3 linked regions of the Oryza sativa Japonica Group genome follow. The protein of the gene in region 1 interacts with the protein of each later gene in a pairwise test. Links are inferred from orthologs where the notes say so. Each region holds a gene or a part of one and is shown on either strand. Other genes may lie near its edges.

Region 1 (10,396 bases):
CCGCCATGGCAGAGTGACACGTCATCGAGTGGATCCGCAGCCGGAGGCAAATCACTGGGTATTTATATGTAGAGCCGCCGTATAATACTCCAGTCACTACGTATAATAGTCACAATTTTTTTAGACTAACCAAAACGAAGCAACTACAAATCGGCCGCATGAAAAATGCAGAAGTTGTTTCATCACTAGACTTAAAAAAGTGTTTTAAACAATTACAATATCGTCTAAATTTACTTGAAACATTTTTCAATCATGCGGTAAACAACAAAGATACATTGATTGAAACATTAAAAAAAATCGTGAAAATCTACATGTTTCAAACAAATGCAACACCATTTTACCCCAAGTTGAAATATTTTTCTAGCACGTATGAAACATCAAAAATCCAAAAATATACCGGTCTAGATCTAGCTTCCGCCTCTTAGGTGGTCGAATCTTTAGCTTCTTCTGAGCCGACCAAAATTCGAACAAAAACATCTCCATGGAAAAGATAATGGGAACTAAAAACCCGATTAGTACACCAACATATAATAGTCACAATGGTGTACACACACTGAAGTTGTACTGTACGTCTATACAATAACCATTTTATGAACATGGTACAAATATGTATACGTTCATAAGTAACAACGCACATACTCATCTCCATATGCATACACACACATTATCTATAGCATATCCGAATAACTGGATAACGAAACCGACAAATCTCGCTGTTTCTAATTGAGCTACACTCACCTCACTACGGTAACCTCAAAGCTTTAGGGCCTTTTTAAATCACAGTAATGAAAAAACGGAGGAATATGAAAAACATAGGATTCTGACAGGAATGAAAGTGTAAAACAAAGGATTGCAAAACGCAGGAAAAAGAATGACCGTTTGATTGGACCACAGGAAAAACACAGAAATTTGAGGAGAGATAAAAGACTCAAAGGATTTCTTCCATGAGATTCTATCTCTTGTTAAAATTCCTCTAAAACTTGTATGGAAAGAGGCATTTCATAGGAATTTCATAGGGTTCATTCCTTTAATTCAAAATGCTTTGTAGGAAAAATTTCTATAGGAATAAAATCCTCTAAAATTCCTATGAATTTCCTTTCAATCAAAGGGGGCCTTAAAGTTTTATTTGATTAGAATATTGAACAGATTATCGTTTTGATTATAGAGAGAATAAATTATTTAAGAAATAAATTTAACAAATATCTTAAAATAGAAAAATATTTTGAGAAGCGCAAATAATATGTTTAAATAATCCAAAGACAAGGAAGTGTAGCACAAATAATCCAATTACATAATTCAATGAATAAACTGGGAAAATGACCATGCAAACTGAATAGTCCTTGCCAAATGATCACACGAAACTGCAAACAAATAATTATTTTTTTTCTTTATTATTTACGCTGCAGGAAAATCCGGTGCAGAGTATACACGGCAGAAAATGCATCAGAATACGCATATCATTTGGTCTGGCGATCACGTATATTCCGGATCATATTTACAGCTGCAGCACAACGACCATGGATGCATATGGATCATGGATGGTCAGTAGGTGTCATACTCATCGGCGGCCTCCTCTTCGTCGTCGCTCTTCAGCTCGGCGAGCTCCGCGAGCAGCGCCGGGTCGGCGGCGGCCATGTCGCCGGGGACCTTGGCCTCCTGGATGATCCGCATGATCTCCTCGACGGCCTGCGTCGGAGGGGCGGCGTCCGTGTCCTTGTAGTCGGCCTTCTCCCTCTCCGATATCTCCTTTGGCAGATTCTTCAGAAACCACGTGTGCTTCTTTATCTCAGGGATCGTGATCCTCTGAACATCAAAAGTTCAGGGATGCAAAAACTCGAGTTAGTTAAATTCAGAGGGAATCCATCTCGTTAATTAATTAGAGACATAGTTTGAGCATTAGAACATATAATTGAGATCATATAGGCCGCATTACAATGAGTAAGATTACAGGTAGAATCTGAGTATGATTTAAGGTTAATTTTCCCTTCGGAGTAATCTAAAGTTTGGTCTAGTTTGGCAACTTGGGATCTCACTTAAACTGGGAGGTAAAGTGTGTGAAATTAAGTACCTTTGAAGGATCGGCAACAAATATTTGAGATAGAAGGCGCCTGCAGTCGGAAGACACCCTCACGTAGTCCGGGATGGAGTATTGCACGCCAAGAATTCTCTGTCAAGTGGAACAAGGCATGCATATTCAGAGTTTCAGACTCACCATTGAAGCAAGGTGTAGAAAAGGCTTGGATGATGAACAGAGGGAAATGGAGCACTTACGCTGATCGTTTTGCGGAAATTCCTCGGATCACCTGGATCTTCAAACGGGTATGAACCGACAAGCATCACGTACAGTGTCACACCACAGGACCAAACGTCTGCTACCTGGGTAAGGAGACGCATTACCTCAGATCATGCAGAGATGCAATTCTATGATGCGATGTTCCAGGAACTTCAGTAGCGTCCTAACATTACTGAAAACGTAAAGCTTATGCTGTTCGGTTTGTTTTGCACTCAATGTAAGTATTTCAGCTGCAATGGATCACTTTTAGCTAACGTCTAAATGCTCAATTGCTACGGTTCCATGATGCTAGAAAAGAAAAAACAATAGTGATAGATACTGCTATCTATCTTTACTTTACAGCCAAATTCAGATTGCAAAACATAGAAATGAGAAATAACTTGCCTTGCCATCATATTCTTTTCTTGAAAGAACTTCTGGCGCTATGTATGCTGGAGTACCAACTGTAGACTTCGGCTTCGAATGCAGCAAAGCAGACTGAAAATCAAAGAAGCCAAGTTGTTCAGTACTCCAGTTTGATTCTACCAAGAAGGCAAGAACAATTCAATCTATTTCTAGTAAAGTACTCTGAGATGTAGAACAGAACTAGTAGCATCCATGTTAGCACCTTTGAGTAACCAAAGTCACAAATCTTCACACGAGGTGTTGGGCTTCCATCCAGGAGGGTGTTCTCAAGTTTAAGATCACGGTGGCAAATTTCCTGCATTTTGCAGAAGCAGTTAATGACCACTTAACTTAATGAGCTTACGATGTGCCTGTTACGTCTGCAGAATTTCAACAAGCAAAACATACCAGAGAATGACAGTAGCTGACACCTGATATTAGCTGCTGGAAGAAGTACCTTGCCTATTGACATGAATCAATTATTGAGCACAGATGGTTTGCAAAACGGGAAGATTAGCTCACAAGAAGACAAGTAGGGCCTGAAAGCAACCTCGTCTTCGCTGAATCGCCCTGCGGTGCAGATTTGTTCAAAGAGTTCTCCACCAGCAGCATACTCCATGACAATGGCTAGGTGTGTGGGTGTCAAACAAACCTGCTCTTGATCGACACACAAAACAAGAAATCGTTATAGCAGTTGAATTTACTTCGATCTTAAGACGATACACTACTTACTAATTGTATGGTAAGTAATCAGCCAGGGTAAGCTTTGTGCTTGATAGATGTATAAACCCAAAACCTTATCATTTTACTTTCTACAGTAGCAGTGGAGATCAGCTCCATCTAGTTTGACTGTTTGACTGACTGATAATCAGTGAAGCTGCCGAACGAACTGATGAGTGAAAAGAAAATCTGAATTACCTCCTTAAACCGAATGATATTGGGATGCCGGAGCGACCTATGATTGATGATCTCCCTCTGCACATTTTCATCAATCTGCACACAGAGCAAACCAACCATCCATGCATCATCAATCAATCAAACTAAAAGCTAAGACTCGTCATGCATCTGGAACAACGAGTTGCTGAAAACATCAACTCGCACACACCATCAAATTATCAATCAGTCCGACGCAAGAAACTGCGAAATAAATCACAAAAGGAGAGAAGAGAAGACAGAGACAGAGGCAGCATCAGACCTTCTTGCCCCTCTCGATGTACTTGACGGCGACGAGCTCCTTGCTCCTCTTGTCCCTGACCAGCCTGGCCACCCCGAAGTTGCCGGCCCCGAGCTCCTTCAACGCCTCGTACCTCTCCTCCATTGGCCCCCTCGAAACCCAAACCCAAAGAGGAGAAGTCGCCGCGGTTCGAGACCGAAGCCGACCACCCAACCAACCCAATCAGAGGCGAGCTAACCTCCAACCAAACCAGACCAAATCCGAAGAAGGGAGGCGGCGAGGTGGAGGGATATGAAATTCTCTTCGTCGCCGTCACCGGAAAGCGACGAGGGTCTCTTGGTCGGACTTGAAGCCGAAGCGAAGCAGCGACGGCGACGGCGAGGTGCGCGACACGTGGCCCCCACGAGTGCCGTCGCTTGTCACGTGGGCCCCACGCGTCAGCTCAGCTAATCGGCGGGCGGGGTAGGAGTGGGGCCCGTGGATTAGGTGGCGTGTCCTGTGAATACGACGTGGCCGTTTCGTCGCTCCGGGTTGCCACGTGGCTCCATGTACGTATTATATGGAGGCCCACGCTCAGAAGAGGGCGGTGTCCAGAAACATGGAGCTGGGCTTTTCTTTTCCAAAGATGCTGGGCCGGTTTTCTAAAGTGCAAACCATGGGCTGCACGATAAATTAATTGATTAATCAGTTTTAGCTAGTAATCGTTAGCAAAGACGTTGGTTAACTTGGTTTTCTTGCTAGTTTCGTAGGGATTTCAAATGGTTATGAGCAGTCGTTCAAAAAAAAAAGATGATTATGAGCCAAGCAAACCATGGGACTACTATCAATTCGAAGCATCCGCTCGAGAATCTTCCATCGAAGATTTGGAACAATGTTGAATTTCTTCGATGTGACATAAACAATCTGCCTGGTCGTGGTTCACTACTGTGGTAGTAGTACTATTAGATTACTCTAATTATTGCGCGTGGCTGAGGTAAACCATGACACATTAGTGCTGGAATTGTTGCATGTGACCGAGAGGTAAGATTAGCGCAAGTTGGCTTGCAATTTCTTTGCGAAATCGTATGATCTGCTAATATTCCGTGTGGCTCTGCCCCTTCTCGCTGATTGGAGTTGCGCTTAGCCGTCGTAATAGTCATTTTCTTTTTCTTGGTTTTTTTTTGTCTTTTCTTCTTTTTCTTGGCATAAGCCAGTCTGTCTGATTGCGTTATGTAAACAAATATTTTTTTTTAATATATTGACTTAATTGTTTTGCGCGTTCGGAAAAAAAAATCTGCGAATATTCCCAGCTGACCAAAATGGGAATGGACGACGACGACGAGGTCCTCCCTTCTTCGCTTCTTCCAATCCATGGGCCGCAAGTCCGCAAGGGCCGCGCGCACGTGGGCGCGGTGCGGGTCTTCTTTCCCAAAAGAAGTCGGGGGAAAGCGAGGCGCAACGGACTCGGGGCCCACCTATCGCGTAGGTAGTAGGACTAGGAGGAGGCATAGCCCGTCTCGTCTCGACACCCCTCCGACCCCGACGCGTCGCGCACCAAACCCCCCCGCCCCCAACCCCGACCTCCTCCCGTGCTCCGCGCTCCGATCCGCCGCCGCCGCCGCGCGCGCGCCGCCGGGGGAGTGCGCCGGCGTGTGGTGGTGGGTGTGTAAGGGTAGGTGGAGGGGTGGGTGATGCGAGATCGGCCGCGGCGGCGGTAGAGGGGGTGTGTGTGCTCGGCTACTCCGGTGGGTCGGGTCTGGGCGGGGTGCGCGTGGGGATGGGGTGCTTCCAGTCGACGGCGAGGCGTCCGCGCCCGGGGTACGAGGACCCCGTCGGCCTCGCCTCCGAGACCGCCTGTGAGTTGTTGTTGCTGTACTTGCCACTTGAGGAGTACTCTACAGTACTGTATTTCATTTCATTTCATCAAGTAGTTCATCTGATTTATGCAATCGATGGGCGTACTGGAAATTCTGAGTTAGTTGTTTTGGATGTGTAGTTAGCGTAAGTGAGGTGGAGGCTTTGTTCGAGCTGTTCAAGAGCATTAGTGGTTCTGTGATCGACGATGGGCTCATCAATAAGGTGAACATCTAACTGTTTCTTGGGGGTATCTCACCATATTGGCATCATGGCATGTGTGATTATGAGCATCCTGATACATTTACTAATCTGCTTTTATAGCTTGTTGTGGAATTACAAAATTAGACCTTGCCGCATTCGAATATATCTACTGTTCCGTCTTTCATCACCATATTGGCATCATGTCATGTGTGATTATGAGCATCCTGATACATTTACTATCTGCTTTTGTAGCTTGTTGTGGAATGACAAAATTAAACCTTGCCACATTTGAATATATCTCCATGTACTGTTCCGTCTTTCGCTGGATATGAGAGGAGGTGCTCTCATATCGGAATTTATTAAGAGGGGAGTGAGGCTCGAACCTGGGTCGGCTAGCCCACAACTTGTGGTGCTAGCCAGAAGACCCCCACGCCTTTCTCACTGTTCCGTCTTTCAGGTTTCAGCTGCACAAATTATGTGGTGGATGCCATTTTCTGTGAATCGTTTTGCTATGCTGGCAGTTCTATTCATTCATCTTTGAAGTGAGCATGAATCTTTGTTGTACACACCCCGATCCTTTATTCCTCTTGTACCGCTCATTGTATTATGTGTTTGCCTTCTAAATTGTTGAATTTTCTGTGTATCAAAATGTGATTTTTTTCCTCAAAGTTTAATAGGAAAAAACTTGTTCCTGATATAAACCATCTGGCTACTATCACAGTATAACAACACAATGATAGTTCAAAGTTTGAGTCACTTTCTTCCTGCCTTGTCAATATTGATTTGCCGTGCTATAAAGCTAGACATAATGCGTTTCTCTTGCATCTTCACTTTTGTTTTTTGCATCTTCTTGTTGCGTCTTGCGTGGCGAAGAAGTTCATTAACTGCTATCTGAGAAGCCATACAGGTTCATGCACATCTGCTAGTTCTCATGAACTATAATCTTGACGTCATCAGTAGCTAAATTCACGGTATGAAATTAGGGACTACCTATCTAACGTTCGACATAAAATCCCCCCAAAAATATGCCGTAACTACAACACAATAATAGTGTAATTGCTGTTAGAATTTCAATGGTTACTCTCATTGAGAAGAGGATGGCACTCGAGATGGGGCAATTTTCTGGTTTTCTTCATTCACTAAACACAAAAGCCATATCCTCCCAAAGAGGATTGGATACATATTTATAGCTGCTTGTAGCAGCCATGCAGCCATGCTAGTCTAAGAGGGTGCTGTCAGCATCCCAACAAACTGTCCTAGAGCAGAGCATCCCAACAAACTGTCCTAGAGCATCTCAACAAACTGCTGTCCTAACTGTCCTAGAGCATCCAAACTGAAAGTAGAGATGCTGTCCTAGAAAGCTGAAAAACAGGAAAAAAGGCACCACAAGACCAAGACCAACCAGCCAAGACTTATTCCTACATTCTCCCCCTAAGTCTTGTGCGCCGTCTTGTGGGAGAGTTGAGCCATCCCGATCCGGGAGCAAAGCTCAAGGAACTTGATCCTCCCAAGGGGTTTGGTGAGCAAATCCGCAAGCTGGTCCTTGGTGTTGATGTAGCTCGCCTTGATGCTCCCTTCCTCCAAGTAGCTTCGGATGAAATGGTACCTCACTCGGATGTGCTTGCTCCGTTCGTGAAAAACGGGGTTTTTTGCCAGGGCCAGAGCGGACTTGCTATCCACCCTGAGCTCCACCGCTCCAGTATCTCTGCCGAGGAGATCACTAAGCAGTCGAGCAAGCCAGAGCGCCTGGGTCGAAGCGGCGGATGCCGCCATGTACTCGGCCTCGCAGCTGGACAGGGCCACCACCTGCTGCTTGATTGACTGCCAGCTAACGAGGCACTCGCCGAGGAAGAAGAGAATCCCGCTCGTGCTCTTGCTGGTGTCGATGTCGCCGGCGTGGTCGCTGTCGCTGTACCCGACGAAGTGTGCCTTGCCAGGACACCTCGGGTAGTAGAGACCGTGGTCGAGAGTCCCCGCAACGTAGCGGATGATCCTCTTCACAGCCTGCTGGTGCTCCGTCGTCGGTCGCTGCATGAACCGACTGACGTAGCCGACGGAGAAGGCCAAGTCCGGCCGTGTGTGGGTGAGGTAGCGAAGGCTCCCCACAAGACGTCGGTACTGTGTAGCATCCACCTCCTCCGCTGTGCTGTCGCGGCTCAGCTTCAGTCTCTCCTCCATCGGAGTGAGAGCTGGGTTGCAATCGGTGAGCCCAGCCAGCTCAACGACGCGCTTGGCGTAGGCGGTCTGTCGAAGCGTGATCCCGGAGTTGTCCTGGTGCACTTCGATCCCCAGGTAGAAGGAGAGAGGCCCCAGATCACTCATCTGGAAGGTGGCCTTCATCTCCTCCTTGAACGCCGCGACCTCTGCATCCTTGGTGCCGGTGATCACTAAGTCGTCGACGTAGACACCCACCAGCAAGGCATTTCCTCCATTGCCCCGCCGGTAGATGGCCGCCTCGTGCGGGCTTTGCTCGAAGCCCATCCCCTTGAGCGTGGAATCCAACTTGGCATTCCACGCCCTCGGTGCCTGCCGCAAGCCGTAGAGGGCCTTGTGCAGGCGTAGCACCTTGCCCTCCTTGCCGGGGATCACAAATCCCGGCGGCTGGTGCACGTAGACCTCCTCCTTCAAGTCGCCGTTTAGAAACGCCGACTTGACGTCCATGTGATGGACGCCCCAGCCTTCCTGAGCAGCCAGCGCAAGAAGGAGTCGCACGGACTCCATCCGTGCCACGGGAGCGAAGGCATCGTCGTAGTCGATCCCCTCCTGCTGCACGAAACCGCGTGCCACCAAGCGAGCCTTGTGCTTGACGATGGCTCCGGCTTCATCCCTCTTCAGCTTGAACACCCACTTAAGGGTGATCGCGCGGTGACCACGAGGGAGGTCAGCAAGCTCCCAGGTGCGGTTCTCCTGAACCGCGTCCATCTCCGACTGCATCGCGGCACGCCATGCCGCGTGTTTCTCGGCCTCTGCAAAAGACCGAGGCTCACCGTCGTCGCACGCAAGGTGCAACTGCGCCTCCAGGTTGCGAGGCACCAGTCCCGGCACCGGCTGGTCGCCGAGAAGATCCTCCATCGTACGGTACCGTAGCTGCTCGCCGTCATGGTACGCGTCGATGCGCTCCCCGTCGTGGGAGAGCGGAGTAACGAACTCCACCGGGCTGCGCTCAACACGAGCTGGCGTCGGAGTAGACGTGCCCGGAGGAGTGGCTGTTGGTGCTGGAGCGTGTGGGGACACCGGCTGGGGTGGTGTCGACGACGAGCTCGTCGTAGTCGAAGTCGTGGCCCGAGGGTGTGTTGGTGTTGGAGTCGGTGGAGGCTCGGGGACTGGGGTAGACACGCTCGGTGAAGAAGAGCTGCCTACTCCCCCAGCTCCCTCGAAGTGGACGTACTCGATGGTGAAGTCGTCGTACGTCGGAGTCGAACCATCATCCACCGCCTTGTCCCATACCCACCCTCGCCCTTCGTCGAACACAACATCGCGCGTAATGCGCACACGCTGTGTCTCCGGGTCGAGGATGCGGTAGGCCTTCGAGCCCTCCGCGTAGCCGATGAACACCCCTGGGGTGCTCCTGTCGTCGAGCTTGCCGATGTGGCCAAGCTCCTTGGCGAACGCGAGGCAGCCGAAGACCCGCAGGTGGGAGACCGCCGGCTTGCGCCCATGCCAAGCCTCGTACGGTGTCCTGCCATCGAGGGCCTTGGTAGGCGAGCGGTTGAGGATGTAGGCGGCCGTCACCACCGCCTCCCCCCAGAAGATGGCCGGCATCCCCCTCTGCTTGAGGAGGGCCCGAGCCATCCCCACAACCGTCTGGTTGCGCCGCTCGACGACGCCGTTCTGCTGTGGGCTGTACGGCGCGGTGTAGTGGCGCTGAATGCCCTCATCAGCGCAGTACGACGCGAATTCAGCCGCCGTGAATTCGCCGCCGTTGTCGGTGCGCAGCACGCGCAGCTTGCGGCCGCACTCCGCCTCTGCTGCAGCCTGCGCATGCCTGATGGCGTCCGCAGCCTCTCCCTTGCTGCCGAGGACCATCACCCACATGTAGCGGGAGAGGTCGTCGACGAGCAGCAGGAAATAACGTCGTCCTCCTGGTGTGGCCGGTGTCACTGGGCCACACAAGTCCCCGTGCACGAGCCCGAGCCGCTCCTTGGCTCGGAAGCTCGTCTGCTGGGGAAAGGGGAGCCGCCGCTGCTTTGTCACCACGCAGACGTCGCAGAGCTGCTCCACGTGGTCAAGGCACGGCATGCCTCGCACCATCTCCTTGGCACTGAGCTGCTTCAGGGCCTCAAAGTGGAGGTGCCCGAAGCGCTCGTGCCACTGCCACGCCTCGTCGTCCCGACGAGCGGCGAGGCAAACTGGATGTGCGACTTGCGCGCTGAGGATGTAGAGTCGATTAGTGCCTCTGGTTACCTTGGCAAGAAGGCGACGACGGCGATCCCAAATCCTCATGAGTCCGTCCTCGACCAACACGCGTGAGCCGTTCTCATCCAGCTGTCCCACGCTGATGATAGAAT
Region 2 (10,396 bases), on another chromosome or scaffold:
CCGCGGTATAGTTTCATCAGTGTTTAACTGTCCCTTCGTTTCTAAGAGAACCTTCTTAGTACGCCAGTCTGGACTGTTAACTGATACTACTACCTTGTTTGGTGATACTGATACCTGAACGGCTGAACCTGTGTTATCACTTGTCAGGACCTTACAGTTTGCTCTGTCCTGCTAGCGAGCAACGCAATCAGTAATTCAGTATATCGAAGGAGATCGTGCGTGGTCGTGCTATCAGCCGATCAAGTGATGAAAACTTGAATCTATAGGGATTGAATTGTCATCCTCATCAGTAAAAAATATTTGCATTCCAAACATGTCTGAGGCTTTTCTTGAAATAAAAAAAAGAATCATTGCAGTTGCCTGTTGCAGCATCCGGAAAGAAAGAAAGAAAGAGGAGCACATGCACATGCCATGCGTCCCATTTGAGCATCTTTTATTGGGGTAGGGTGGGTTCCTCCTGAATGGATGCAATCTGCATGGCAAGTAAACCATTTCTGTTGACTAGTACAAACTCCTGCTGAAAAATATTCTTCAGACAAACGGAGTAGGACCATCCGAGACGATCGATCGATGAATCGATGGACTTTATGGGTGTAGTACGCTGGGCAGAGACAAGAGTTTGGCTATCTTGATTCTGAGGATGAGTCGACCAAGGGACCCTTTGCAGGGTCAGGTTTGTTTTTTGTCCCACTCTCTGGAAGACTGGAGTAGTACACTACTTGAAGCATCCCATAGCTGGGGGATAGTGACAATTACAGAGTCGTTCTACATTGTGTATTCGCTTATCTAATTTGCTGATCCTGAAGAAACGGGCAGTCTATCCTAGATGGAAATGGAAGAACAACGATCTGAAATGGGAATAGTAAACCCGAAATTATGGAAATTAGGAGTAACACAGGATTGATTGGAAACGTTTCATTCAGAAATTTTTATACGTTCCAAACGAGACACTGCGTGTTGCTTCGACTACACGTTGTGCGTCCGGCACGATACGACAAACTTTCCAGCTGAAGCTGGATGTATGCGAGCAGTGCAACGGCCGGCCGGGAAACGAACACCTCTTGAATCCCTCTCACAGAAGCGAACAAGCCAGCTTCGTGGCCAGTAAGTACCAAGCCACAGCTCACCGCGGAATCGACCGGGGTGAGCTGAGCTGGATGCAGATTGCGCCCGGAGTAACCGAGCTGGGGACGGGGTTAAAGTGAGGACATGATTAGTCTGTTGAAAAAAAACTTTAGGAATACCAAATTTTGGTTTATTGATACATGGTAAAAAAAAAGTGTACCAGAGATCTTATTTGCTCTGAATTTTGGAAATCTCAAGAGTAAATACTCAGAATCTACTAAACTCCTATTTGGTAAGGTTCATATATGTTTAGAAGATAGTATATTTGATTTATTACGCAACCGAAATATGGTATATTGTTTTTCCTAACGAGAAACCAATGAAGCCCTTGATTTTCGGGGTAGAAAATGTTGAAATTCTTACTACAAGATGTCTGATTTATTACCTTACAAAATGCGACAGCAGTAAATTTTGGTGATCTTTAATTTTTTTTTGTGGCAAGAAACCCATCAAAGCCCCTTTGATCCTGGCGTGGAAAGCGATAAGCGGTGGTGTCGCGTCGCGTCTGCAGTAGAAATGGAAGCCTGGGGGCTGTGGCTGTGGCGTGGGCCAAAGCAGCAGCCATCACCAGATAACCCCGCCCGCATGCCCCCGCCTCAGGCCCCCCTCCCCAACGTAGTATATTCACCTCGCCGCACGGCAGCGGCAGCAGCAGCGTGCCACGAGACGACCACCAGCTAGCTCGCAATGGCGCAGCACGAGAGGAAGCCAGTCGGCGAGGCGGTGGACGTGGAGGCGGGAGGAGGAGGAGGACGGCAGCGAGCTGCGGCGGCGGCGGGGGAGAGAATGAGGTTGACGTGGTCGTGCCTCGCCGTGGCGGCGGGCGTGGCGGCGACGGGGGTGGCGGGCGCGGCCGTGCTGGTGTGGTGGGCGGTGGCGTTCCACCCGGCGCATGAGCAGCTGTGGATGGTGCCCGTCGGCCTCGTCCTCCTCGGCACCCCGCTCGTCGCCTGGCTCTCCCTCTTCGCCTCCGGTGCGTGCCGCCGCCTCGGCAGCCTCCGCGCCGTCCAGGACCAGGTCCCGCCGCCCTTCGCTGCCGAGAGATGACTGGGTTGTCTTCGATCTGTCGTCCGTCCGTCGAGTGTACATTTTCTTAGTCTTATTATTCTTCTTCGGTGTTCTTTCTTATCGTCGTTTTTCCTAAGATGATCGGAATGTGATCAGAATGGGATCCAAATTCTAAAGAAAAGTTCTTGCTAGTACAAACCTGCAGATTTCAGATGCTTCGATTGATCTTGCAGATAAGTTTGGCACTTAATTATATTCTAGTCGATCAAGTACGTGGGAAGAAATTCTCGTTGTCAAGGTTTTTTATTCAGCGAGTTAACATTGACAGCTCCGGATCGAATTTTGAGAGAGAGCTATGCAGCTCAGCCCGACAGCGATTTGTCATAGTCACACAAAAATGATGGCTCCTTTACTACTATCGCCGCATAGTCCACACATAGGCACGAGAAAAGAAAGTGTTGTTTTCTTTCCTACGCGGTCACTGCCACAGCTTGGAAACACAGAGTGACCGCAGCGACTAGTACTTGGCAGTTGGAGCACGAAGGCCTGAATCTGATGGTGGTGCCAACTCGGCCAAAGTCCCAATTATTCCTCACAAGTCGCGACTTGGCAATCGACGTCGCCTTCAATAATGCAAGGCTGACTGGCAATGAGACTGGGCATGTAGCACGCGCGTCGCTCATGTGTGTGTATCACGCTAACATTTGTCTCGGGGCTCTGGCAGATTATGGGTGGAGATTTGGACGGAAGCTAGCTAGTAATATATATGTTGGTCTGTTCCAGTTACGTTGCAAACTGCGATAATGGCGAACGGATCGATGGGCACAAAGCCACATATGCATGGGGCATGGACTTAACTAGATAGTGCGGTTTGGTGGCGTCTACACGTTTTAGAATTCGCATCTCATTCTCGGTGAATAAAAACCTAGTCAAAAGTTGAGGCTCTCCCATCTGCAAGACTGCAACCGAACAGACGCTGAAGAATCTATCTTAGGATCGAGCTCGTCGTGTTCACTGTTCAGGCGGCCGAAGCTTTGCGCCTGGTTGATGGGGACGGGAGTATCTATAGTGGACCAGTACTTCACTGTACTATTACTACTACTACTACTACTGCTCCAGTACAAATACTGATGATGTGTGTTCGCATCACATTATTCTGGCTAAGCTTTCTTCCTCCTCTTTCTTGGGACGAGGACAGCGGCGGCAGCGTACGCAGCGGGCCAGATTCTACACGAATTCTGCACGCTAGTTGCATGCAAAAGCCGCCTTGCGAGTTGCGAGTTCCGACGTACGGTTACCTCTGGGCACCAAACGGGAAACCGGCCAAGCCGTTGCTGTGTTTCGAGTTCCGACGACGACGCCGCTGCGGCAGCGGTGCACTCACACTCACGATAGCTGTGGCAATTCAGCTCGATTATATCACGGGCGGGGGCATGGCGTGTCCTGGGACGGTGCCATTCGGTGGAGCGTCAACTCGGAAAGCGGCCGTCCGGTGACACGGCCGACCTGGCCTGGCCTCTCCCTTCGGCTTCACTTCCCTAGCTTGAGACTTCCCAAAGAGCACCCACAATAGTAAAGTAACGTGCTATCTATAAAATATATACATATCAGTAATAGACTAGATTAATAGTAAACCACTTTAATTGTATGTCTATATGGGTATCTATAGCTCTCTAATCCATTGTCTCGTTTTTCTCTATAGACTATCTCCAGATTAGTAGATATCTTTGCTCTCTCTCTCCATTTAATCTCTTTCAAGTAGGAAAATATGCTGACATGTATCTTTTATAGAAAATCTATAGATAATTATTGCGGGTGCCCTTATTGTACCACATGTTGATGGAGACATTCGGGGTAGTTGACCACGTCGGGGCGATGAATCATGCGCGCATGTATCGTATGGTCTGGAGACGACGATCCTTTTCTTCTCATGGGCTGGGCTTCTTTCACTCGTCGACAGAGAGCATCATGGGCCAGCCCACCGTTGTTTTTGTAAGGCGAGAGCGAGAGAGAGAGAGAGAGAGAGAGAGAGAGAGAGAGAGTCCGGTTTCAGGGCCTGTTTGTCAACTGGGCCTGAAAGAATTGGGCCAGGTTTCTCGCCAGATTATGGGCTCCCAAACAGAGGGTTTTGGGTTTATGACATTTCTTCTGCTGCTAACCTGCCACGTTGGGAGCTGAATATCTACGAACTACGTCAAAATGTATAAAATCGCGGTTTTAATTTTTCTTTTCAGAAATCTCTTAGCATAGCCTTCTTAAAATAGAAAACTAAGCATTTTCTATCTAGCACGATTCTACTTTCTTCTAACTCGCGGTTAGGAGTGTTTCTGCGACAACCATCAAGTATAACTCGACAAAAATCACCGGCCATGGAGCTCATCGAAGTACGTATCCTCCTGGAATCGAAATCCCACAAGCTGACAACGCAAACAAAGTCGCACGTGGAACTCTCACTCCAGAACAACAGTGCTGTCCCCGTCACAATAATCTCGCCGTCTACTTCCAAAGTCACGAAAGCTGCTGCAGTATCAACCACTAACACAAGAGTTGCAATCACAATTCTCTCCAAATGTAATGTGACGGTTACGATTTCAAATCAGCAATCACACACAGGTCGATCGGTCACGCCCCCTGTCGTGGTAATGCCTTGATGGCGGCGAGGAAAAAGATTTGAGAGAATGTGGTGTGCAGTGCAGGCAGCGACGACGAACGGGACATGGCACGAGGCGCTAGTGGTGGTGTGGTGCCCCCGCGTGACGCCGCAGGATAAGGCTCTCGGCCCCATCGCGGCATCAATCATGCATTCACGCTGCTACTGGCCTACTGCTATTGCTATTGCTATTGCTAGCCGCTTGCTGATTCGTGGCGCACCGCTTCCGACCGCGACCACATCAGGCAAGGTTAATTGCGTGCATGATTGCTGGAAAAACAACACAGCAAACGGCATACAGTAGCAAGATCACACACGTTCGTTTTTGTCGTCGTCGCGGTCGCGGTGAATTGTTCAGAGGAGAGCCAGAGTTTGTTCAGGGGAGGACGTGTGGAGCACGGATGGATCAGCGCGTCGTTTTCAACGGAGGAATGATTGAGAGTACGGCACCGTACGGGTGCTCCTTCGAGGAAGGTGCAAAGCACGCATGTTCAGGGTTACTACTAGCTCGTTGCCTGTCGCTGTGGCCACGGTGGTGGACGACGGCGAGATTTTCCCTACTCCAGCGTAAAGAAAACCGAAAGGAGCGATCTCCAAGTGGCAACACGTAAAATCTCGCCCCACATTTGGATTTATCCATCCGAGGAGGAGCCACGGTTAAATGCCGCGTTCGCGCGTGCTCGTTACGTACGCGTGTTGCTTTCGAGTTTGATTAATCGTTTTTTTTGCCGGGGTGGTGGTGGGATTGGGATAGAGTTCGGGCCACTGCCTGTGAAAACTGTGAATCGCGTCGCGTTGCACACGGCCAAAACGATAGCGCGCGCACGCACGCACGCATCCGTGCCGCACGCCGCGCGCCGCCTACGTCTCGTCCCACGCGGTTCCCGACCGGACCCCACACCACACCTGCCACCAACGCATCTCCGCCTTATTTGAGGCGCGCGCACGGGGCGCCCAAGCCATCCAGCCTGCGTGCGACCTACCAACGCGCGCACTCCTCGATCCCATCATCGGAAGGCGGCGAGGCGCGCGGTGGAGGATTGATCTGCGGGAGGGATTGATGGCGGAGGCGGAGGCGGAGGCGGCGGGGGCGGGGGCGGGGGCGGGGCCGGCGAGGAGGACGACGAGGGTGGGGCGCTACGAGCTCGGCAAGACGATCGGGGAGGGGAGCTTCGCCAAGGTCAAGGTCGCCCGCGACACGCGCACCGGCGACACCCTCGCCATCAAGGTGCTCGACCGCAACCATGTGCTTCGCCACAAGATGGTCGAGCAGGTCCGCCGCCTTAATCATCCTCAAAATTGAATATTTATCTCTTTTTTTAGACATCAGGTAATAACAAGTTGGATCTTTTCTCGGAGGGGATCGAATTAAGAATCCTAAATTATTCTAGATAGATGCTAGATTATTATAAAAGATGGATTTTCATGGGGATTAATAAACATTAAACGAGAATATGCGCTTACTACGTCTCTACCATTGTCAAGATTCTGTCTGTTTGGATTGTTTGTGATTGAAGAAAGGTCATGTGTCCGCCTGTCCAGCGGGCTAAATCTGCTCTGATCTAAAGGAAATTAGATGGAATTGTATCAAGTTTGAATCGGAAATGTAACAACAGATTATCAAGCTGGGCCATGTAACTATAACAATATCTCCGATGCGGTGATGCCAACCCTGTCTTAATCAAATGCTTTCTGCCTAGCAAAAAGCTGTGCTAGCTTTGGTGTTCGTAGGAGTGGCAAGAGTTGTTCTAGATTCATTTTTTTTTCTCGGGGAGTTATAAATTCAGTCTGACTGGGGGGAAACTCGGGTATTGTACATTCCGTGCTAGATCACTCATTGGTTGATGCATTGTTTGGTGGAAAAACTAGTATTTTTTTTGGTTAAATATGTGATTTTCCATATGATGTGTTGGCACAATTAAATGTCCCTGCTCGAGCTGTTCTGTTTTCCAGCTTGAGCTTTCGATTGTGAATGATAACCTCATATTCCACTTCTATCAGATCAAACGGGAGATTTCCACAATGAAGCTAATAAAACATCCAAATGTGGTCCAGTTGCATGAGGTACTTTGCTATCTTTGCAGGAACAATAGCGTCATTACCACTCATACCCTTCTTTTTTTTTTTATCTCATCTCATTCAATGAGAATTTTACATTCAATGTGTGTTTGACAGGTCATGGCTAGCAAATCAAAGATATACATGGTTCTTGAATATGTTGATGGAGGCGAGCTTTTTGATAAGATTGTAAGGCCCATGAACTTTCTGTGCCAGATATCACGATTCTTATTTTTGTTTATGTACAAATTGCTTTTACATGCTGTAAGAGTAGCTTGTTGAACCGGCACATTTGACTGTTTTGATACTGACTGACTAATCCGCAGTTCTTGGACCATACAAGTTGACCCATTTATCATCATGTTATTATCAACTAGGTCAATTCTGGGAGACTAGGAGAAGATGAAGCAAGAAGATACTTCCATCAACTTATAAATGCAGTAGATTATTGCCACAGCAGAGGAGTGTACCATAGAGATCTGAAGGTTTGTTGAATTATCCTGCTTACCTCCTTTCTGGGTAATCTCCACTGGGATGGATGTATTCTCATTCATATTTTTTATGTGCCATTTGCAGCCAGAGAATCTGCTTCTTGATTCACATGGAGCTCTTAAAGTTTCAGATTTTGGCCTTAGTGCGTTTGCTCCACAAACAAAAGTATGATATCTAGCTAGTACCCAGAAGTATGTTTTTGTAGTTGTTAAAAAATTAACCAGTTTCTTTATCCTAATGTGATGTGTTTGGGTTTTCTAGCATTTTTCTGGTTTAATTGACTTGTTCCTTAACTTGCACTATTACCTCAAATGAACTTCGGACGCATAATTATTTGTTTTGGTGACAAGAAAGTTGAAAGAAGTAACTTTGGTAAACTATTTTGATTGTTTTATTTAGGAGGATGGACTTCTGCATACTGCTTGCGGAACACCAAATTATGTTGCACCTGAGGTGATTCATGTTGCCTTTGATTAAACTCGTGTATTTTCTCCAAAAAGATGTAAGAATCATATATTCATACTGTTCCCTCAGGTGCTTGCTGATAAAGGTTATGATGGTATGGCTGCTGATGTATGGTCCTGCGGCATAATCTTATTTGTCCTCATGGCTGGATATTTACCTTTCGATGACCCCAACCTAATGACCCTTTACAAACTGGTAAGTATGTGTAACATGCACGCATTCTAATGTTTCTTGTGAATTTCATTGGTAAACTTGATAGACTTTTGATGTTCTCTTCACAGATCTGCAAGGCAAAAGTTTCTTGTCCACATTGGTTTTCTTCAGGTGCGAAGAAGTTCATTAAGCGCATACTTGATCCTAATCCCTGCACAGTAAGTGACAATTAAGGACATATATCTTCAGCTAACCAGTTTGACCAGCTGACTGCTGCTAGTCCAATGAGTTTCATTGTATATCCTCTTTGAAGCCTTTTATGATGGCAATTTGAGAGAAGTCAGAAAACAATGAGCTATATTCTTTGCAGAGAATAACAATTGCACAAATTTTGGAAGATGATTGGTTCAAAAAGGATTACAAACCACCACTTTTTGAGCAAGGTGAAGATGTGAGCCTTGATGATGTTGATGCTGCATTCGATTGTTCAGAGGTAATGCTAGCTGAACATTTATCTGTAACCTGCATCCTTTCCCAAAAATACGATTTGTAACCTGAGTTAAAACCACTTCTTTGTTTGTTACGTTTGTTTGTTTAACCTTTCAGGAGAATCTCGTGGCAGAGAAGAGAGAAAAGCCTGAATCCATGAATGCATTTGCTCTAATTTCAAGGTCACAGGGATTCAACCTTGGAAATTTATTTGAGAAGGAAATGATGGTAGGTTTTGATAGAGTCCAATATTATAATTCCATGTTGAGAATATGTTATGTGCTAGATAGATTGGAGTGCTTCTTTCTGGAAGCTTGTATCGGTTAATATAATTTTGCTAATGTTTTCCTCTTTTCTTTATGTGCTAAGTCCGACAGAACAATTATGTTTTGATCAATTTATCATCCTATTAGTTGTACTCCTTAGTCGTTTACTAAATAGTCTGAGTCTACCTAATATATATAGGGAATGGTGAAGCGGGAAACTTCCTTCACATCTCAATGTACACCACAGGAGATCATGTCTAAAATAGAGGAAGCTTGTGGACCTCTTGGTTTCAATGTGCGGAAACAAAATTATAAGGTTTGTAGCATTTTAGACGGCTATGTATTGACTAGTTTGCTTTATGTGGGTTTCTGTTAGTTTCCTTGAGAATTTGCATCAGTATGTTCGCCATTCAGAAGTAACTTGGATTTGTTCTTTTTTGTTGGGCTCCAGATGAAGTTAAAAGGTGATAAGACTGGAAGAAAAGGCTATTTATCTGTAGCAACGGAGGTATTGGAAATTAAATTGACATGTATCCTGTTAAGTCTGTGCAATGCTTCAGTAAATTTTGCTTTAATAAAAGAACTTATTCACATGCTATCTCACAGGTTTTCGAGGTTGCTCCATCACTCCACATGGTTGAGCTTCGTAAAACTGGAGGGGACACGCTGGAGTTTCACAATGTATGTTATCAAACTTTGTATATTCTATCATTTCATAGTGGGTCATTGAAAAAAAAAATCATTTCATAGTACCCAGCATCTAGTTGTTTCTTGATGATTTCAGAACGATTAACGTCATTTCTATCAAATTGCATGCAGTTCTACAACAATTTCTCGTCAGAGTTAAAAGACATAGTGTGGAAATCTGAATCTGACGCAAAAGCAGCAAAGAAGAGGTGATCTTTAGTATTCCAACTATCCAATGCTCCTGGATGTAGTTCCCCCTTTGTAGCGTTTGCACCATTTCTCCAGGTGATACCAAAGGATATCGTCCTCCTGGTCTTGTGCACATTGATGAATTTTCTGTGGGGTCACATCTTGTTGTGCCAATCCTTGCAAAAGGGAGCGCTTTTTTTTTTCTTTTTACCCTTAGCGCAACTGTAGACATGCTCACATGCATGTATAAGGCCCTCCCGGAGATGCACCTTGTATTTGCAGTTGGGATGTCAAATAGGTGTCCTACATGCTTTGGTGACCAGTAGGGTTGTGTGCCTTTTCTTTTAGTGCTGAAAAGTATATAATAAGATCAAAATGTGAAATTGGGAGGCTATGTAACACTAAGCTGTGCTCTGTTCTTGAGAAACCTAGCAGCAGAATGGCAGTGTAACTTTGTTAGTTCTTTCTTTTGTGAAACTGTAATGGCTTCACACCTGAGCTATGGGTGTATGTATTCAATCATGATGCAATCTGATTGGCCGGATAAAAGAAAGAATAGTAATCACCTTTGCATGCTATTTATTATGAACCATCACATCCTCTTGGGCCGGATCGGTACCAATGCGATTCTAGTCGGGTTTGGTCTCACCAGCCCATGAGTTAATACGGCCCGGATGGAGGAGAGAGTTTGATTTGATCTGCTCGCGGCTCTCCCTGCCACGCCGCCGGTCGCCGGAGCTCCGTCAGCCGTCCACCGGCGTTGCTGCACGGAAGCTACAGGCGATCGCCCTGGAGTTAGCTGCACTACCTGTGT
Region 3 (9,710 bases), on another chromosome or scaffold:
GGGCCTGTTCACTTTGATGCCATTTTCAACCTTACCAAAATTTGGTAAAGTTATCAAAAAAGTGGCTATATTTAGTTTGCTGTCAAATTTTGGTAACTATATAAAATTTTGGTAGGGAGCATCTATCTATTTGTCGGGTGATTTCTAATAAAAAAATCACCCAAATTTTTTTTTACCCTTGTATTTACATCCAACGGACTACAAAAGAAAAATAACAAATACATATTAACTTACACATTATTTTTACCAAAATTACAGTGCACTTACATGTCAAATCAAGTAAATTTACAAATATAATTTTAGTTATATAAGACTGTAATTTTATATTTTAAAGAAAATAATAAGTACATATTTAGTTACATATTATTTTTATCAAAATTACAGTACACTTACATGTCAAATCAACTAAATTTGCAAATATAATTTTAGTTATATAGGACTGTAATATTATATTTTAAAGAAAATAGTAAGTACATATTTACTTACATATTATTTTTATCAAAATTACAGTGCACTTACATGTCAAATTAACTAAATTTACAAATGTAATTTTAGTTATATAGGACTGTAATTTTATATTTTAAAGAATTTAATAAGTACATATTTACTTACCCATTATTTTTATCAAAATTACAGTGCACTTACATGTCAAATCAACTAAATTTACAAATGTAATTTTAGTTATATAGGGCTATAATTTTATTTTATTTTTATTTTTTATTTTAGTTTCAAATGTCTTAATTTTTCAATGGTTAAAGAAATCAATTTTTATTTAGATGTTTAAGATATGTTAAATTTGTTGTATCGATTAGTACTTAATCTGACATGTAAATTAACATAGAGATATTTCTTAATTTGACATATAAAAATTACATACTTCATGTATTTTATTCACATGGCAAGACTAACACACCTTGACTCCCAGTCGACCTTATCCACGGCAATTGCTGCGCAAATCTTGGCGCAAAGACCATGTGGTAAAAAAACGTCAAATGACAAGGAAAAAATATCTCGCCAAAATTTGATAAGGTTTATTTTGCCAACAAAGTGAACAGCCCTTAGTTCTGTACTAATAGCAATGTTTTGAGATGGGGTAGTAGCTCCGCCACAAAACTCCGGTTGAAAACGAAAGCGACGGTTAGCTGTCGAGGGAGACGAAGAGGTCTCAAAACGTACCTGACATCATTATACAGCTGACATTTAGGCCAATCCAATTCCGTATGTCCGTGCGGCTTTCATTTTTTTCCTTCTCCTTTTGACCAAACGCAACCCATTTTTCATTCATTTCCCTTTTTTATTAGCCAGTCTTTTCTACCTCCAATTTTGACGGACACGAAAAAAAGTAGTACTAAAACGAAAAAAAAAAAACACTCATCTCCCACAAAAATTCCTACTAAAAAAGAAATTCATCTGTTCAGACTGTAGCAGATCGAGACAACGCCACACACGCACACACACGACACGACAGCTTCGTGCTCAAGCGAGCAGCAGCTAGTATAGAACCCAAAAAAAAAAAAAATCGGCCCCATTTGAAAAGCTCGGAATCCCCCATCTCAATGGCGATGTCGAGCTGAGCACCACCCTAGCGGTGGAGTAGGGGAGCTGTGGTCGGCGGCGGCCGCCGCCAGTTGGGTGTCTCGGAGTGAGACCGGGAGAGGCGGCGGAGGGAGCTCAGGGAGGGAGGGAGGAGGGGCGGCGATGGTGGGCGGAGGGGCGCTGCGGCGGGTGGGGAAGTACGAGGTGGGGCGGACGATCGGGGAGGGGACGTTCGCCAAGGTGAAGTTCGCGCAGAACACGGAGAGCGGGGAGAGCGTCGCCATGAAGGTGGTCGACCGCTCCTCCATCCTCAAGCACAAGATGGCGGATCAGGTGAGCCCCCATCTATCTCTTCTGTTTTTTTTTCCTTTTTTTGTTCTCTCTATTTGCGTGTTGATCAAGAGATTTTGCTGTACTAGCTTAGCTTGGGAATTAATTAGTGTATGCCACGGATTTGTCTAGCGCCTTGAGACACAGAATGGATGAGGGAGATTGTTTAATTCGACCCTCTTTTCATCCTCTTTTGCGCCAAATTCTACTCGGTTTGTCAATGGTGGGTTTGATGCTTCATGTCCAATTGGCGTCTAGCTTGCAGCTTCCTTTCCCCACAACAAAGTGTTAACAGTGGTGGTACCAGGATTGTTGAATCGAATCGCAATTTTAAACTTCCGCCGAGCAGTTTGTTCTTCTGTATATACCTATTAAGATATTGTTGTTATAAAAGAAAAAAAAAAGTAAGGTACCTATGTCAAGAAGCACCCCTTTGTAAAAAAGAACTCACAGGTTTATGCTTGTAAGGGAAAGGCAGTTTTAGCTGTTCTAGTTTTGTGTTGTTGAGCTGCGTAAGTTAGCTGAATCCTGATGTATCAGGGTGATAAAACAGGAGCTTACTTAATTATTTCTGCAGATTAAGAGAGAGATATCTATAATGAAGCTTGTGAGGCATCCGAATGTGGTTAGACTACACGAAGTACACCCTCTTTCCCTTTTCTCTCTTTAAGTTTTGTTGTTTACTTCTTTGTTCTCTCTTGCTTTTTCCAAGTGCTGATTGGGTGATCATATCTGTTCTGTTATGTGCAGGTCTTGGCAAGCCGGAAGAAGATATTTATAATCTTGGAGTTCATCACTGGCGGTGAACTATTTGATAAAATAGTAAGGCCCTGCTTGTTAATGATAAGTGTCCTTTTCAGTGTCATTTTCTCGATATGACCTATGAAAAAATTGAAGTTAAATTAGTTCTTGTATCTGTTGCCTAGTTGTCTACCTCATTACTTCTGGATTGAACAATCGCCACTTGTGCTTGTTGGATTTAACACACAAAAATGAGTTTTCAAATCTATGTTGAAGCTTAGTTATTCTGGGAACAATGCCATTTCAGATTCGTCATGGAAGACTCAATGAAGCTGATGCACGCAGATACTTTCAGCAGCTCATTGATGGTGTTGATTTTTGTCACAGCAAAGGTGTCTACCATCGAGATTTAAAGGTGATAAGTCAAAAGAAAAATACGAAAACTTTTTGTGTTTAGTTTGTGGGCTTTTTGATTTTATTTTGTATGTATGCAGCCCGAAAATCTCCTCCTTGATTCCCAAGGAAATCTTAAAATATCAGACTTTGGACTCAGCGCCTGGCCTGCTCAGGTCCATACCTTTCTGAAGGCTTGTCCAATATTCATATCCTTTTGTCGAGTTATTTAGTTTGTTCTTGTGCAGGGTGGTGCCCTTTTACGTACTACCTGTGGAACCCCAAATTATGTTGCCCCAGAGGTGAGTGACATCTGAATCACATGCTTTGCTTTGAGTTTTCCTAGATAGAAAACATTAAAATTGTCTTCTGCAACAAAGGGTGGTTTAAATATGGGTTAATTGGATCCATGCCACTGCAACTTTGCCAAATTGAAAAAATGCCACTACTATTCATCATATCGGCTACATGCCACTCGAAATTTCTAAAATTGGAACCATGCCACTCCAGTCAGTTTTTCCGTCCTCCTCTCTCACGCCGTCTCTATTCCCGTCATTATCCCCCCTCCCTTCCCATCCTCCTGCTCCTAGGTGGCCGGGGACAGCACCACCACCTTCGTCGTCCTCACCGGCGCAAGGGTCGGCGGCGCCGGTGCACGAAGACGAGGCTGGCCTGTGGTTCCCGTTCGCGGACTCGCTGGAGAAGGACATCTTCTCGGACCTCTTCTACGAGGCGCCCGTCGCGGCGGCGGCAACGGCTGCGGCTGCTGGCCTAGGCGCCGATGGCGACAGCGACGGCGAAGGCAAGCCTTGCAAGGACGATGCGGCAATGGCGGAGGAGCGTGGCGGGCCGGGCGCGGCGCGACCTGATGCCGCCGCCCAAGTCGACGCCCCTCTTCTCTTTATTCCCCACTTCTCTCCACCACGTCCATGATGTTAGCCGTCGCGCCGGGGAACGGGTTGCCGGCACGGAGGTTGTTGTCGGCGTCCATCACCCTGTACACCACCTTGTGCGTCGGCTTGCCGTGCTCGTCCACGCCATTCTCTGCAAAGATTTCACGTATCTCACTGTCAATTTGACAAATGAACTCATCCAATCCAGCGACAGCAACATCTGTATGGATTTAACAAGAATGGACCAAGCAAGATCGAAGCAGTCGGCGGCTTGGCGCCGCGGGGGCTGCCCATGCCAAGGGCCTCACGGCCGAGGCAATGCGGCGGCCGTGGCGCCGCATGTCGGGGTCCCCGACCGCCGACACTTTGCCGCCGCCATTCGTCTCGAGTCTCTTGATGGACTGCGCCACCAAGTAGCACGAGATGGCGAGGACTTGACGGACCCGTGGGCGGCGGCGGGGGCCGCCGCCGCCAAGGCGTCCGCAGAGGCCCCGCGCCGCTGGAGCGGAGGCGGAGGGCAAGGGACGCCGAGCTGTCCGCGCTCGCGTCGGCCACCCGTGAGGCTGTGACCGCTCGCGCCGCCGTGTTCCGGGAGCCGTCCCCGGCGCCGTTGGACGCGTCGTCGACGGCGGGGCGGCGCAGAGCTCCCGCCCGTGGTGCTGCGCGCGTCGTCGCTGATCCAGCGGTGGCGGGAGATCGAGGCGATGGGGCCCGCCACGTCGCGGCCCTACGACCTGGCCTTCGACTCCGACGGCGGCTCGCCGCGGGCCACGTGGGGTGCATCGTCAAGAAGCTCAGTGGCACGTCGTTGCCGCCGCCGCTGTACTCGATCCACGATGGGAGGTCTCGGGAGCCGCTGCTGCCGTCCTCGACGCCATCTGCGGCGGGAGTGCTCGGGAGCTGCCGGCGGCGTCGCCGCTGTCCTTTGCAGTCGCACGGAGAAAGAAGAGGGAAATGGAAACGATTAAACGGTGGAACGAGACGGTGTGAGAGAGGAGACGGAAAAAGGGACGAGAGTGGCATGGTTCTAATTTTAAAAATTTCTAGTGGCATGTAGCTAATATGATGAATAGTAGTGGTATTTTTTCAATTTCGTATAGTTGCAGTGGCATGGATCCAATTAACCCTTTAAATATACCTTCATCCTAAGATGTCAGATTACTCAGTTAAACATGTGTGATGGAATACTCATACATTTATCCTTCAGGCAGGTTGAGTAACATTGTTCCACCGTGTAACTTAAGACATCTTCTCTAAAAAAATGTAAAAAATAAAAAGTGATATAACTAGAACTGTTTTTTATCTCTATACTGAATGAGCCAAATATGCATGATTGATATCTCTTGATTCTTTATTTGGAAAAATGCTTTACTTTTCATTCTCAGTAAAACCATGTGATGTGTTTCATATGATTATAGATAATGTGTTCACTGCAACCTTTAACTCCTTGTATGGATCAGGTTCTCAGTCATAAAGGATATGATGGAGCACTTGCTGATACATGGTCATGTGGAGTTATTCTATATGTCCTGTTGGCAGGTTATCTTCCATTTGATGAAGTTGATTTGACTACCCTTTACGGGAAGGTTTGTTTCTTCTAACCTATGGCAACTTTTTTGAAGCTCAAATAAGTATATTGCAACCCATTTATGATTTTGTGTCAGTGTATATCATATTGGCACATGATCTCTTTGTATGGAAGATCAGATCTCATGACATTTACTTGTATTTGCTTTTACTATACACTATGTGCTTACGTTTATTATCTAGCCACTCATTTAAGCATGATTAGTGGTATTAGTTTGTGAAATCCATGTGAAAACAATATCAAACATACTCGGTACTTCTCAGTGCATAGATAGCTAAGTAGCTTATGTAATGTAGTGTGTTGCTAGTAGTTAAAGATTACAGATCCTGGCAGTGGCTCTGATACGTGAGCATAGTGATCTCATACCTGCTTTCCTACTGCTGAAACATTCCGGCAAGTAAGAAATGTAAGCTTGCCGAAACAACTAACCAACTAAAAGGAAATTAACCTCGGCATCCTTTAGAATAAACTAGTTAACATGCTACTACTTTCAATAAGAGAATTAGCAGAGAAGCTGGGGAGCACAACAACAATAGCAGACTCATTACACATGGCTTCATAGCTAAATCCTCTCCTTTTCGCTCTTGTTTCTCTTTTCTTTTTGGTTGGTGGAAGTATAAACATTTGTATTCCATTCTAGTAGGACTGATTAAGAGATATATCTATTTGCATATTTCAGGTTGAGATGCATATAGCTATTTTTATTTTCTAGATTTGAATATTAGTTCAACATATGCCTTGATGGATGGAATAGAAGTTTTTATCTAAAATTGTTTTTCTTTTGTACAGAATATACAAATTTATATCTGTCTATTTGCTTAATACAGATAGAGAGTGCAGAATATTCATTCCCAGCTTGGTTTCCTAATGGTGCCAAGTCACTTATTCACAGAATTCTTGACCCTAATCCAGATAAAGTAAGTAAAGTTATAGAAGTGTTTAGCTAAAGAAAATCTCCATTGGCTGATATGAATTCAATGAATTATAGTTTAGATACATCACACCTCTAGATACTGATTTTCATTGGCATTTTGTTGACTCAATATGAATTTTGACTTGGAACAGAGAATCAGGATAGAAGAGATCAGGAATGATGAATGGTTTAAGAAGAATTATGAACCTACCAGAGAAATTGAAAGTGAAGAAGTCAATCTTGATGATGTCAATGCAGCTTTTGATGATCCTGAGGTATTTATGCTTACTCTTGTCTTAGAACTGTTTTTGGAAAGGAATCATTGCATATATATGACATTTTGTATGTGCTACAATCTTCAAAATATGCTCCAAATGAAAGCCTCGGAATGGAATTTCAGTTGCTCCAGATAAGAACTATTAGCAGTAACTGAAACTGGAATTTCAGTTGCTCCATTGTTAATTATGAAATTTGATCAGAAAGCCTGTTTCGCACTGAAGCTATGCTGTACGTTTTTACGGGAGCTCTATTGTGCCTTTTACCTGTCATTATATAAATATATAATTTGTGGTCCTTTTTCTGTGTGATTTCAGGAAGACGCTGACCATACTTTAGATGACGAAGCAGGACCTTTGACACTCAATGCATTCGACCTAATAATTCTATCTCAAGGCTTGAACCTTGCAGCACTATTTGATCGCCGACAGGTATGGTGCAAGACATTTTGTGATGTCTAGTGTTTTCGCAAACTAAAAGTTGGAGTACAGGACTAACACTGTTATTATGTCATGTCCCAGTTCTACATTTTTTAATTAATACGCTATTTGGGCATTAAATCATGGTTCTTATTGTTATTATCGGTGAATATTCAGTTTAGTTTAAATAGTGTACATGTGATTTGCTGCGGCAGTTTACATTATTTTTGCAATCATGTATTATATGCATAGACTAAAGAAAATCCATTTGATTCAAATTATTTTAACATATAACCAGAGGAAAAAGACAATGATAGACCATCCCATCTGATGATCTTTGTTCCTCTTCTCTCAAACACACCTTAATATTGTTGCTGCCCAACTTGACACAATTCAAACTATCCTCTATTTTTATTATTTTTGTATGTACTCCGCAATACTGGTATTGCCTAGAAGCTTGTTTAAATGTCCATGGTTTACCCTGTGTGTGAGTTTTATAGATAATTATGGGTTTCTTCTCCTCGGACCTAATGCTTGATGCCTTGATCTACAGGACTATGACAAGCTTCAAAATAGATTTTTATCACGCAAACCAGCAAAGGTTATCATGTCAAGCATGGAGGTTGTTGCTCAGTCAATGGGGTACAAGACACACATTCGCAATTATAAGGTAAAGTTTGTTGCCCCACACCCTATAGCTTGTTACAACATCACTTACCTATTATACAGATATTGCAAATCATCTTCTCCTTCATCTTAGCTGACAAGCAGTTGTTCTATCTATTTTGTGATAGTTAGAATGTAACTGTTTTTTGGTTCATTGTACAGACATACAGACATGAGGATCTGTAGTTCTGTTAAGGTCTAAATTGTATCAGAAGAAGCAGCACCCTGTCTTGAAAAGCTTATTGTTTTCTGGAATGTGAATATGTTATTTTAAAGTCAAATAAATTTCTTATTATCTTCAATGTATCAAGCCTCATGTTTGAACAAGTTGTCAAGAGAACGTCATTTGATATGCTGGCATTTACATTTGAAATTATTGTCTAAGTAGCAACCACAAACTACCTCTGAATTGACACAAAAAGCATGATGATATCAAAAGTATTAATTCATTAGAATGTGTTTAGGTTGCTGGTCTAAGGGGTTACAATAAACTGTACCCCAATTTTTTGTACATATATATGCACAAGTTTTATCAACCTGAGTAAACAGTACTTCATTTCAGTCCTTTTACCACTGGTTTAACAGTATTGAATGGTATTGCCAGTGATACATCTCTTTAATTTCTTGTATTGTTTGTTTGTGGCCTTTTTTTTTCCCTTTTGGCATAACATTGTCTGGATGCTGGTAAATTGTGATCAAATGCGGGCTTACAGTTTTAATATTATTCATGCTGTTATTTTGCAAGTAAAAGAGTTATAATGTTTTGTCTTGTGATTTTGATTCTCAAAACTTCTTTTACTGCTAATTAGTTAGCATTACCATGGACATATTTGATTCCTTACATCTAGTTGTGCTATTAATATATTCAGATGAGGGTGGAAGGTCTAAATGCAAATAAGACAAGTCATCTCGCAGTTATGCTTGAAGTGAGTCTTGCCTCTTTTGTAATGAAGTACATCTGTTGTTTTATTGCCTTCTATTATGGATTACTCCAATCCTTTTCATCCTGAGTTTCCTCTGGTCAGATTTTTGAAGTTGCCCCATCGATCTTCATGATTGAACTGCAAAGAGCAGCGGGAGACACCTCCGATTATAACAAGGTCAGATGCAAAGAGCCTTTCATACTTGCATCATGCTGTTTCTTGAGGTCCTACAGCCGATACACCATGTATAGCTAAATGCACCTGATACATCTAGGCTGTAGACAGCCTAGTGTTATAAAGCTGGAAAATATTTTGCAATGTTGTTACCACAGAGCTTTACGGAGACTGTCTAGAAAATAGTTAGGTACTAGTAGTACCAGACTGATGTGGGACCTACCTGTGTACATGCATGGACCGTACTATTCATTTGCTGCTGTCTTATTTTTCAGTTTGTGTTTTGTCAAAGCTAAATAAGCATGCCTAATGTTAAAGGTTAGGCATGGGCAAATATATTCAAGTAGTTTCTTCACCCAAGAAATCTGAAATAGTAATGCTTATAATTTCCTGATGAAACTTCTTGCTTCACTAGATATTTTTGTGAATTGTATAATGTAAAATAAATTGATCTGGATAATGGCTTTTGATTTGCTAAGACATGCACAACTAACTCCGCGTGTCTTATGTGCAGTTTATAAATAATTACTGCAGCAAATTAGACGATATCATTTGGAATTTTCCAATTGAGAAGAGCAAATCAAGGATATCGCGGCTATCGAAGCGCTAGTCTGCTTTGACATCCATCATTTGTATGCTGTTGTTCAACTCTATTTTCATCTTCTATTGCCATAATATTTGCATTTACCTCTACTTATTACCTCTTAACCATACCGGAATGCTCACCACTATTGCAGGTACTATGTGTAATCTAATGCTATGCAGCTTGAGTGGTATTGGGTTTGTTAGTGGATGTATTTGTAGAGATTGCCAATTCAATTCATCTCTGATCTTTTAGTTATAAGAGATGACCATGTA

Evidence for each region.
Region 2: the proteins of calcineurin B-like protein 1 (region 1) and cBL-interacting protein kinase 9 interact in binary tests that used the Arabidopsis thaliana proteins (3 or more experiments, as listed by UniProt). The link is inferred for Oryza sativa Japonica Group from reciprocal best matches to the Arabidopsis thaliana genes CBL9 and CIPK9.
Region 3: the proteins of calcineurin B-like protein 1 (region 1) and cBL-interacting protein kinase 8 interact in binary tests that used the Arabidopsis thaliana proteins (3 or more experiments, as listed by UniProt). The link is inferred for Oryza sativa Japonica Group from reciprocal best matches to the Arabidopsis thaliana genes CBL9 and CIPK8.

Annotation. Positions count from the first base shown.
Region 1 is NC_089044.1:22,985,660-22,996,055, forward strand, and holds the start of calcineurin B-like protein 1, read left to right. Parts: upstream 1-5,357; 5' UTR 5,358-5,607; coding exon 5,608-5,686; intron 5,687-5,826; coding exon 5,827-5,909; intron 5,910-10,396. Other genes in the region: phospho-2-dehydro-3-deoxyheptonate aldolase 2, chloroplastic, read right to left, coding at 1-25; serine/threonine-protein kinase SAPK3, read right to left, coding at 1,543-1,803, 2,069-2,167, 2,272-2,376, 2,678-2,770, 2,901-2,993, 3,086-3,139, 3,228-3,329, 3,596-3,670 and 1 more. UniProt on the Arabidopsis thaliana protein: Acts as a calcium sensor involved in abscisic acid (ABA) signaling and stress-induced ABA biosynthesis pathways. Contributes to the regulation of early stress-related CBF/DREB transcription factors.
Region 2 is NC_089037.1:1,522,230-1,532,625, reverse strand, and holds cBL-interacting protein kinase 9, read left to right. Parts: upstream 1-5,493; 5' UTR 5,494-5,843; coding exon 5,844-6,056; intron 6,057-6,784; coding exon 6,785-6,847; intron 6,848-6,958; coding exon 6,959-7,030; intron 7,031-7,218; coding exon 7,219-7,326; intron 7,327-7,417; coding exon 7,418-7,498; intron 7,499-7,732; coding exon 7,733-7,786; intron 7,787-7,867; coding exon 7,868-7,993; intron 7,994-8,079; coding exon 8,080-8,169; intron 8,170-8,321; coding exon 8,322-8,444; intron 8,445-8,557; coding exon 8,558-8,668; intron 8,669-8,905; coding exon 8,906-9,022; intron 9,023-9,157; coding exon 9,158-9,214; intron 9,215-9,312; coding exon 9,313-9,387; intron 9,388-9,525; coding exon 9,526-9,606; 3' UTR 9,607-10,169; downstream 10,170-10,396. Other genes in the region: uncharacterized protein, read left to right, coding at 1,813-2,172. UniProt on the Arabidopsis thaliana protein: CIPK serine-threonine protein kinases interact with CBL proteins. Binding of a CBL protein to the regulatory NAF domain of CIPK protein lead to the activation of the kinase in a calcium-dependent manner. Involved in K(+) homeostasis under low-K(+) stress.
Region 3 is NC_089035.1:20,037,554-20,047,263, reverse strand, and holds the start of cBL-interacting protein kinase 8, read left to right. Parts: upstream 1-1,543; 5' UTR 1,544-1,698; coding exon 1,699-1,869; intron 1,870-2,443; coding exon 2,444-2,506; intron 2,507-2,616; coding exon 2,617-2,688; intron 2,689-2,914; coding exon 2,915-3,022; intron 3,023-3,101; coding exon 3,102-3,176; intron 3,177-3,248; coding exon 3,249-3,302; intron 3,303-5,353; coding exon 5,354-5,479; intron 5,480-6,308; coding exon 6,309-6,398; intron 6,399-6,546; coding exon 6,547-6,669; intron 6,670-6,987; coding exon 6,988-7,101; intron 7,102-7,642; coding exon 7,643-7,759; intron 7,760-8,624; coding exon 8,625-8,681; intron 8,682-8,780; coding exon 8,781-8,855; intron 8,856-9,366; coding exon 9,367-9,462; 3' UTR 9,463-9,484; intron 9,485-9,589; 3' UTR 9,590-9,710. UniProt on the Arabidopsis thaliana protein: CIPK serine-threonine protein kinases interact with CBL proteins. Binding of a CBL protein to the regulatory NAF domain of CIPK protein lead to the activation of the kinase in a calcium-dependent manner.